Linked DNA regions of Xenopus tropicalis. The protein of the gene in region 1 interacts with the protein of each later gene in a biochemical or structural test. Links are inferred from orthologs where the notes say so. Each region holds a gene or a part of one and is shown in the gene's direction. Other genes may lie near its edges.

Region 1 (2,358 bases):
AGCAGTGCAGGGAGGGGCAGTGGATATTGGGGAGTCGGGGGCAGCAGTGCAGGGAAGAGTAACAGGGGCAGTGGATATTGGGGAGTCGGGGGCAGCAGTGCAGGGAAGAGTAACGGGCAGTGGATATTGGGGAGTCGGAGGCAGCAGTGCAGGGAGGGGCAGTGGATATTGGGGAGTCGGAGGCAGCAGTGCAGGGAGGGGCAGTGGATATTGGGGAGTTGCTTACATTTTTATTTTTGGGTGTTGGAAGTATTGATTAAAGGGGAACTAATGTGAAACTACTAAGTTTCATCTGATGGATTCTCTGTGCCGGCAGTGTCTCTCCCAGCAGGCTTTGCAGTGGAGCCCCCCCATCCTCCTGACTCATTCTCCCCTCCCCCCCACAGAGCAAACTGATCGCGGGCAAAATCATTCCGGCCATTGCCACCACCACAGGGGCCGTAGTGGGGCTGGTCTGCCTGGAGCTGTACAAGATCATCCAGGGCCACAGGAAGCTGGAGTCCTTCAAAAATGGCTTCATGAACCTGGCGCTGCCCTTCTTTGGCTTCTCCGAGCCCATCGCTGCCCCCAAGCACAAGGTGAGCGCTGCTGGGCCGGCGGTTGGTAGGGTGGACATTATTGTGGGATGTGCCCCCCCTAACCTGCCCCTCTCCCCCCCGCAGTACTATGACAACGAGTGGACGCTGTGGGACCGCTTTGAAGTGAAGGGAGTGCAGAGCAACGGGGACGAGATGACGCTCAAACAGTTCCTGGACTACTTTAAGGTGAGTGGGGCAAGTCGTTAGTACCGGGGGCAGGAAGTGGTTAGGCCCCGCCCCCTCGCTATGTGGCGCTCACCTATTGTGTTTGTGGTGCAGGAGGAACACAAGCTGGAGATCACCATGTTGTCCCAGGGGGTGTCTATGCTCTACTCCTTCTTCATGCCGGCCGCCAAGCTGAAGGAGCGCCTGGAGCAGCCGTACGTATTGCTTACTGAGTCTGCCCCCTCTGTTATGCCCCGCCCCCTCTGTGTAACCCCCCCCCAGCCCCCTCTGTGTAACCCCCCCCAGCCCCCTCTGTGTAACCCCCCCCAGCCCCCTCCTGTGTAACACCGCCCCGCCCCCTCTGTGTAACACCCCCCAGCCCCCTCTGTGTAACCCCCCCCAGCCCCCTCTGTGTAACCCCCCCCAGCCCCCTCTGTGTAACCCCCCCAGCCCCCCCCGTGTAACTGGGCCCTCTGCCCCCCCACAGGATGACGGACATCGTGACGAAGGTGTCGAAGAAGAAGATCGGGAAGCACGTGAAGGCTCTGGTGTTCGAGCTCTGCTGTAACGATGAGAGCGACGAGGACGTGGAGGTTCCGTACGTGCGTTACACCATTCGCTGAGGCCCCGCCCCCTGGGAGCCAGCCAATGCTGGAGGGCCGCCGGCGCCGGAGCAGATCGGGCACAGGGGTTAATGGGTCGGCCATGACTGACCTGCCGTTCACTCCCTGAGGTTAAACATATAGTTTGTGGGGGGCCGGGGGGAATGGGGGTGCGCCAGCCTTACCTGTACCTTATTATCTTCTCAGCTGTCTTGTGTCCTCTTGTAAGCACTTTCCGTGATTATTACCCCCCCCCCCAGCTCTTAGAGCAGTTACACCCCCCCCATCCCATTGGCTTCATGTCTTGTTTGTGCTTGCACCTCTCTGCCCCCCCAGGCACTGCCCCCTGCTGGTGATTGGGATCCTCCCTTGTTCCACATGCATGAGGAGCCATGGGGGTGCCCCTGGGGGGGCATTAGTGCCACGGGGAGGGCCCGGATACTGCTGAGCTGTAGGAAATGTTTCTTTATACTGTGTTTCAATTCTGAGGAGAAATAAAAGCGACAGAAATTCCATCTGTGCCGCAGCCAATCATTCTCTGTGCCCGGGGGGCAATCGGCCCTTCCCTTGGGGCCTGTGGGCAACCTTCATCCCACCCCCCCACTAGCGGCTGCACATCCCGGTGATTGCGCCTGCGCACCCAGCATCTGTACAGAGCCCAAGCTGTGTGCTGTTGCTAGGCACCGAGTGCATAGCAACCACTTGTGTTGCCGGTAGGAAACACCGCCAACCAATGCCCAGTCATGGGGAAATAGAGGCAAGGCCATCCCTAGTTGGGCCCTGTGCACTCTGGGTAGGTGAGCGAGAAACTGGCATGTATAGGGCCACGCCCCTTATTGTACCCAAGGCAACAATTACTGCAGTTATGGGGGGCCCAAACTTGCACCCCCTCAGTGCTCCTGGGGCCCTCAAACAGACTGACTTGGTGCGGTCATTCACATCCGGCTGCGCTCGATGGGCCGCGTTGGCCGGCTGCGCTCGATGGGCCGCGTTGGCCGGCTGCGCTCGATGGG
Region 2 (4,082 bases), on another chromosome or scaffold:
CGATTTTTTTAAAAATAAAAACCATGGGGCCTAAGGGGCAAAGGTTGTTGATTACCTTGGTCTGTCAGAAGGTGAATAGCTTCCTCTGCGTCTCTCACTGAGAAATCGAGACCTGATGGTGAAACTGGTTTAGCACAGATAAAGAGCCGCAGAAGTGCCAGGAAAGTTCTGTTTATACAAGGAAAAATCAATAATCACTCTGGAAATGACAGGAATTGACAGGATTAGTAATAAACAGAATTTCTTCGCAGGCTATTTTCAATGTTCAGCTGCACCTGGAGGATTATGAGCTGGCCAGCCCTGATGCACATGAATGCTGCTGTGCATATATCTGTGTTGTTCTGGCACATATTTATGTAGGTTAAGAACACAGATAGCCATATCCCTAAGCCACTTCCTGTCTAACTTTTCAAGATGTGTTTTTCCTTGTGGAGTAATATAAATTGAGGCAAATATTCAACTAAATACCCTCTCCCCTCTTTCATTACTTCCTGTAATAAATAGTTTTGGTGAATAGTATGCAAAGTAACCCCCCAAACTTAAACCACTGGCTGTAATAGGCAAATAAATGAAATATCATTCGTGGCCCTGTGCTGTAACACCTGTGGCCTTTGCCACAAAAAAATGACATCGCAGATACTAATAAAGATTTAAAATTGATATGGAAACAATTCACTCATGCTCCTAACCACCAATACCCTGTAAAGAGCAATTACTCGCTGGGACAGTGCCCTGGGAAAACTTCTCATATACATGGAAATCCCACAGCACTAATGCCTTGCCAAACAATATGTGAGCCAGTGGCCCCATGTCCATGATAGGAAAAGCAAGAGAGAGTTATTCAGGGCCACATTTGCACTCGTCTGGGCAACCAGCACTGTGTATGCCTTGGCACGGCGCATACTGCTCAGCACTCCATAGCCGCAGCCACATAGAATATGAAGGACCTGCTGACACAGCAGAGGAACCCTGTAACTTCTACATCATTGCTGAGTAACACACAGCTCAGCTTTATATACCCCTTGAAGTTATTGCAGCCCTACGTTTTCTATTTTCTGCCAAGCGGTGTCGGGAGCGCGCACTGAAACACTGACTCCATGTGCTCGCCCCCTCCCTCACGGCCTCTTTTCTCCCTCTTTACATCACACTCTATTTGCGCGCTCCTGCACTCCTTGGGGCGGGTCCATCGACGGCGGTGGGCGGAGCCGCTAGGAGTTGTTCTGAAGAGGCAGCCAGAGAGGGCGGCGACATACATACCGTACTAATACCCGCCCCTTTTGCGCGTGTCCGTGCTAAAATAGGAGCCTGTGCTCTGGATGTAGGGGGAGAGCTGCTGAGAAATAGGGGATTTACCATATGTAAGCGGGGCGTTTGGCTTAATATTTCTTGACGACTAGCCCTACGCACTTACCTACACAGGTGCCTTGGGGTCCGGGGTGACTGTGGATGTGTGTCCGGACCCCGAAGAGGTGTGAAAAGAGGACCCCCCGCCCCAGGGAGACAGTTGAAGGAGGAAGAAGAGGAGGAGGAGGAGGTCAGGAAGAGCTGGGTTCGTGTGTTGCACCCACACTTTGTTCGGCACCGGGATTGGGGGCAGGTAATGATTTGTCTGTGCTTTCATACAAATGATTGGTCTCCCATATAAAACTGGCTGTACAAAGGGCACAACAGGATGTATAGGTGTTACATGTGCCAAAGATTGGGAATGCAGTGTATAGATGTGTCTATGTGACCCATAACCTATATACAAATGTAAGGGTACATCAGCTCCCACTACATCGTGTTGTGCAGCCTACAGCTGGCCAGATGGGCTACCATCCTACTAGCCAGGCTAGGACTTTCATATACAGATGTGCTGTACATTAGGGAGGGAACCATGTTACACACACCAAGCTTCACTCAGTGTAGATAATGGAATCTTTTCTGCATTCAGTCAGTCATGGTTGTCCAGCCTGCTGCCCTCATGCTGGGGTTTCACTACAACTCCCAGCATCCCCCAGTATGCTTTGGCTGGTGGGGTTTCTTGGAACTATGGCTAAACAAAAGGTTGAGGGCCGACCATTTATAAGCAGAGGATGTAGCCCCAGACAAGGACATATGTAAACAATTCAAGTTCAATATTAGATTCTGTGTTCCAAGGAGCTTGCACTCATTCTTATTATCATTTTAGTGTGTTGGTAGTGTACAGTTTGTACATTATTTGATCCAGTTTATTAGCAAATCTGTAATTTGTGGATAGTGTAGCTCAATGCTTGCTCAACCTATTGCATGTAGTTGGCTAATTATCCAGTAAACCACATGTACAGGGGCTGGACTTTGCTGAAATGATGATGTCATATAAAGTCTTTGGAGTCCATGAGCCTGCTGGGGGCCATGAAAAAGACTTGGAGATCTACATCTGGCTTGTGGGCTTCCAGTTGGACAGCGGAGGTGTAGCATATACATCTTGATTTTGTTTTCATTGTGCACTCAACTAATAGATATGTGTGCAATACTGACAGTGTAACCAGTGTTGGATTGATTAAAACATGTTTTGCCTGACTCTTAAATGGGAATTCTGTTGTACAGTATGTTGACTTGCTTTACTTGTTCAACGTGCAGGTGAAAAAAGTGCATATATCATTATATCATTTCCTGTAATGTTAGTTCTCTTAGTATTAAATGGCCTAAGATAGCCATGTGCACAAAGATCCACTTGTTTAACAAGGTTACTAAATGAGTTGACTTTTGCCTGATTTTGGGAATATTGAGTGACCCATATTTGTTCTGATTTTATTTTTTCTTCCTGGCTAACAGAAGAATCACCCTAGGGGCCTATGCAGACACTTCAACCCAATAAAGACTTCTTAGATGGTATAATTTTCAAACCAGGGCAATAGATAAATGACTGATCTCCAACCCAGTATTGGAGGGCTTGGCTTGGAGTGGCTTAATCAAAGACAGTGTTGGATTTTTTGTAGTCATCTTAAAGCTAATGATACATGCTTTTCAGCTGGTTTACATGTAGGGTTGCCACCTTGCGGGTAAAATTGATCCTTTATGATTGTAATATTAATAGGGACAATAGATAAAAAAAATATAGGAAGGCTGGTATTTTTTTCCAGTTGGTGCTTTTAGCCAGCTGCTGAGCACCCATGATTTATCATCCTAAGACTTAGAGGGAGATTTATCAAAATGTGAGATTAGAGCTAACCACAGAAAAATTCACCCACTTTCTATTTATTCCTGAGGGATTTTTAGAAACATATTTATCAAATGATGGACTCTAACTTTCACCCTCTGATAAACATGCTTCTAAAAATCCCATAGGAATAATTATTTGATAAATACATTTCTAAAAATCCCTTAGTAATAAATAGAAAGTGGGTGAATTTCAGAGTCAGCTGTGCGACTACACTCTTTATAGATATAATCTATATATCTATATCTATATATATAATTATAAATGTAATCATTTTATGAATAAGCAAGTTTTTTTTAAAAACAATTGATTGTGCAAAGAAAAACCCTGCACAATGGGAAAAAAACAGTAGATACCAGATAATAAAACAACTTACTAGTATTTTCTGACTTTGTTTTAGCTGAAACCCTGGATTAAATGATCATATAATCAGCCACTTAGTGTCTGTTACTTGCATTTTCATAGCATCAAGAGCAAAGACACATTTAGCTACTTAGTAGCAGCTACTTGTCATGGCTACAGAATGCCAGAAAATACCCTGCCATATACAAGACTGAGAATTGCCTCTGCTAAAATACACGTAGAGACAATTATCAGTAAATTATCAGCATTGTCTGTTTTTGTAGCTGCTACTAGTAGCTCCAGGTGTCTTCACCCTAAAGGGGATCATAGTGACCCATTTTAAGAACTTCCTAACTTGATAACTCAAGCCCTACAGAGAGAAAATGAACTGAATAAGTCACATAAATAAAGGAAAATATGATTGGCATGTAGCAATTTAAAAACATCCAGTGTTGTGCAGAATGCTACACAGACCGAAAGCTGCAATGTCATGTATAAATCGCTATGTGAGTCTGATGGAGAGATGCAGCTAAACCATGAGTGGGATAGCACTGTTCTT
Region 3 (4,157 bases), on another chromosome or scaffold:
GGCGCCGTGCGTGTGACGTCACAAAAGGAGTGGGAGGCGGAGCCCTGGCGGGTCCGGCTGAGGTAGAGACCATTTGAGAGAAGCGAACAGTTGGGCCCGCACCCCGGGGATCGGAAGAGTCTCAGTCCCCGCACCGCCCCGCACCCTGCCCGGCCTGACAGCCTTCCGGCCCGCACTGCCTCCTCCTACACTGACACCCGGGCGGGAAGGGGCCACAGGCCCGTAAGCTGCACTGACCGACACAGGCCCGGGCTCTCTGACACTCACACAGGGGCCCGGGGAGCCCAGCCTGACACACACGGACCCAACTCACCCACCGGGGAGAGAGCAGCCTGAGGCCCGGCACCCACTGGCGCCCTGACAGGACTGGCCCAACTTACTGAGCCCCTGTGTGCCCTCCTTCATTCATCCTCTGCTGGGGGAAACCACTTCCGTGTGGCTGTAGGGGGGGCCCTTCCCTGCCCCTCACACTTCTATTGTGTGCAACTGTGCCCTCCCCCAAGGGAATTGCCTTTGTGTGGCCCCTCAGTATCCAGCTCCATTCACAGCCCCCCAAGGGAATTGCCTTTGTGTGGCCCCTCACTATCCAGCTCCATTCACACCCCCCAAGGGAATTGCCTTTGTGTGGCCCCTCAGTATCCAGCTCCATTCACAAGCCTTTGTGTGGCCCCTCAGTATCCAGCTCCATTCACACCCCCCCAAGGGAATTGCCTTTGTGTGGCCCCTCAGTATCCAGCTCCATTCACACCCCCCCAAGGGAATTGCCTTTGTGTGGCCCCTCAGTATCCAGCTCCATTCACAAGCCTTTGTGTGGCCCCTCAGTATCCAGCTCCATTCACAAGCCTTTGTGTGGCCCCTGAATCCAGCTCCATTCGCAGCCCCCCAAGGGAAGCCTTTGTGTGGCCCCTCAGTATCCAGCTCCATTCGCAGCCCCCCAAGGGAAGCCTTTGTGTGGCCCCTCAGTATCCAGCTCCATTCGCAGCCCCCCAAGAGAAGCCTTGGTGTGGCCCCTCAGTATCCAGCTCCATTCGCAGCCCCCCAAGAGAAGCCTTGGTGTGGCCCCTCAGTATCCAGCTCCATTCGCAGCCCCCCAAGAGAAGCCTTGGTGTGGCCCCTCAGTATCCAGCTCCATTCGCAGCCCCCAAGGGAAGCCTTTGTGTGGCCTCTCAGTATCCAGCTCCATTCGCAGCCCCCCAAGGGAAGCCTTTGTGTGGCCCCTCAGTATCCAGCTCCATTCACTGCCCCCAAGGGAAGCCTTTGTGTGGCCCTGGGAGAGACTTTAGTAGACCATTCCCCTTACAGGTGGAGGCCCCCAACCCCATTCCTGAGAGGGAGCCTGACTACCACATTGAGCTAAAGAAAGCCCCCCTAAGAGAAGAGACTTGCCCCAGGAGAGAATCTCTTTGCCCCCCCCCCCCCATACCCTGCTGGGAGAAGCACCCCGACCCTTACCTCCCACCTCTGCGCCCACCATGGCCCAGCAGCAGATGACCAGCTCCCAGAAGGCCCTGATGTTGGAGCTGAAGTCCCTGCAGGAAGAGCCGGTGGAGGGATTTAGGATAACTCTGGTTGATGAAAGTGACCTGTATAACTGGGAAGTGGCAATATTTGGGCCTCCTAATACCCTGTATGAGGGGGGCTATTTTAAGGTGAGTGCCTGACCTAAACATTTTTGGGGTGTGAATTCCAAGCTGTGTCCAGATTTATTTTTGTATATACAAAATAAATGTGTATCTGCGCCCTCTGCTCTTTAGGAATGATTCATGGAATTCTATCAGTCATCCCCTTTAATTGGACCTGCTGCTCCCCTGACTCACTGGTGGTTGGAGTCTACAAGTTGGGCATCCCTACCCTTAGGGTGAAGAAACATGGAGCTACTTAGTAGCAGCTACTTGTCACAGCTACTAAACACCAGGCCCTGCAATAGACAATACTAAGAATTGCCTCTGCTAAACACACGTACAGACAATTATCAGTAAATGATCAGCATTGTCTGTTTTAGTAGCTGCGATTAGTAGCTCCGACTAGTAGCTCCGTGTCCTTTAGGGCTCTGGTACACGGGGAGATTAGTCGCCCGCGGCAAAACTCCCTGCTCGCGGGCGACTAATCTCCCCGAGTTGCCTTCCCTCTGCCATCCCACCGGCGAACATGTAAGTCGCCGGCGGGATGGCAGACGCGGCGAGGCGATTTCGGGAAATCGCCGAAAAAGCCTCGCGAGTCTTTTTCGGCGATTTGCGCGAAATCGCGCCGCCGCGTCTGCCATCCCGCCGGCGACTTACATGTTCGCCGGTGGGATGGCAGAGGGAAGGCAACTCGGGGAGATTAGTCGCCCGCGAGCAGGGAGTTTTGCCGCGGGCGACTAATCTCCCCGTGTACCAGAGCCCTTAGGGTGAAGACACACAGAGCTACTAGTAGCAGCTACTAAAATAGACAATGCTGATCATTTACTGATAACTGTCTCTACGTGTGTTTTAGCAGAGGCAATTCTCAGTATAACCCTGCGATAAACAATATGGAGTTTAGTAGCCTTGAAAAAGTAGCTGCTACTAGTAGCCCAGTGTGTCTTCACCCCTTCACCAATTTGGCAGCCTATCTGCCTGTGTATGGGCCTACCTGACTGAGATCTGGCCTAAAAATTGAGCATATCTCAATCAGGCAGGTTTGATTTTCTGTTGCATCTGGGACTGCATTGGCTCATTGATGTGGTTCCTGATCCAACAGCACCTATGCCCAATGAAATTCAATTGTTTGGCCCAATATCGGGAGAAGATCAGCTCGCTTGGTGACCTCGCCAAACAAGCAAATGGCCACCTTAAGTGCCTAAGCCTTTAGCCCAGGTACTGGCTAGCAGGCTTCCTTTGGATCCGCTGTTGATGGCAAGAAGGTGTTTATGAGATTTCCAAGGGCTTGGGTTCTCATTACCTGTGATATAACACCATTTTTTTTTATTGTTAGCTCTTACGAGCACGGTAAAAACTCTGTTATCCCTAGTTTATTATCCACAGTGTGTGATTGATCCTATAAATGATTAATGCAGTGGAAAATGTAACTTGCCTTTCATGTGAGGGCTGTAGGAAGCCCATGACACTGCATTTGCTCTATGGCTTACCTTTAACCCTTACTGGGTAATGGCTCCTCCAGTGTGGCCTGTGATAGTGGTTCCCAGTATGTTGGGCAGGGCCACCTGTGGGGGCCCAAAACAAGAGACCCAACCTGAACCCCAGTAAATATTATAAGGGCATAAGTTGCTCCCTTTAGATACTCTGAAAGCCCAACTTGAAGATCATTTTATGATGAGAGATTTGGGGTAAACACCTATTTGCTCAGTGATCCACATCTGTGTATGTATGTGGGCAATTCAACTTTCATTTGTTTGTGTCAGTTTAAACTGAATCCTCTTGGCCACGCACGTTCTACAATACTGGGTCCGACTTAAGCCAATTGGTGACCTTTATTCTGGATTTACGGATGAGAGTCTAATCACTTTCCTTTATTCTGTGTTTAGCCATAGAATAGGGGCCACATTTATAGGGATCTTTAGTAGTCAGAGTGGGAAAGGGTAATCATTTTGGCCAGGACCCAGGTAAAATAATTTTACGATGTTATGAAAGTAAATGTTGGTTTATTATTGTGTGGGACCTAGGGTTTTCTGGACAAGCGGGCTTCTAAAAAAAAAATATATATAAACCCAATAGGATTGTTTTGCCCCAGTAAGGATTAATTATAAATTAGCTAGTTTGAAGTACAAGTTACTTTTTTATTATTACAGAGAAAGAGGGAATCAAAGTTAGACATTTAGGGTGAAGAGGCACGGGGTGATTAGTAGCTGCGACTTTTGGAAAAGTACCGATACAAGCACCGATAATATCGTACCAAACCTCGTTTCATATGATATTCGGTGCGTGTATGGCAAGTCGACCTATATCGCAGGAGGCTGCTGATATCGATCGACTCGCCAATCGGGTGGGTTAAAAGATTTTGATCGGGCGCCATAGAAGGCTCCTGAGCAAAATCTGCCTTCAGGGCTGAATCGGCAGAAGGAGGTAGAAATCCTATTGTTTTTACATCCTTATCTGCCGTTTCAGCCCTGAACGTTAGTGGCAAATTGAACGATCTTTTGTGCGACCGATGGTCACGCGAAAGATCGCAAATCGCCA

Evidence for each region. The genes of interacting proteins can lie anywhere in the genome.
Region 2: of the proteins of uba1 (region 1) and ube2e2, one has a biochemical effect on the other in vitro, tested with the Homo sapiens proteins (4 studies listed by BioGRID, with this or other methods). The link is inferred for Xenopus tropicalis from reciprocal best matches to the Homo sapiens genes UBA1 and UBE2E2.
Region 3: of the proteins of uba1 (region 1) and ube2r2, one has a biochemical effect on the other in vitro, tested with the Homo sapiens proteins (5 studies listed by BioGRID, with this or other methods). The link is inferred for Xenopus tropicalis from reciprocal best matches to the Homo sapiens genes UBA1 and UBE2R2.

What each region holds. Positions count from the first base shown.
Region 1 is NC_030684.2:539,130-541,487, forward strand, and holds the end of uba1 (ubiquitin-like modifier-activating enzyme 1), read left to right. Parts: intron 1-386; coding exon 387-578; intron 579-662; coding exon 663-764; intron 765-857; coding exon 858-958; intron 959-1,230; coding exon 1,231-1,366; 3' UTR 1,367-1,858; downstream 1,859-2,358. UniProt on the Homo sapiens protein: Catalyzes the first step in ubiquitin conjugation to mark cellular proteins for degradation through the ubiquitin-proteasome system.
Region 2 is NC_030682.2:46,326,714-46,330,795, forward strand, and holds the start of ube2e2 (ubiquitin-conjugating enzyme E2 E2), read left to right. Parts: upstream 1-1,282; 5' UTR 1,283-1,597; intron 1,598-4,082.
Region 3 is NC_030677.2:211,137,602-211,141,758, forward strand, and holds the start of ube2r2 (ubiquitin-conjugating enzyme E2 R2), read left to right. Parts: upstream 1-1,357; 5' UTR 1,358-1,472; coding exon 1,473-1,649; intron 1,650-4,157. Other genes in the region: uncharacterized protein DKFZp434B061-like, read left to right, coding at 385-503, 611-1,357. UniProt on the Homo sapiens protein: E2 ubiquitin-conjugating enzyme that accepts ubiquitin from an E1 ubiquitin-activating protein, and catalyzes its covalent attachment to other proteins by an E3 ubiquitin-protein ligase complex.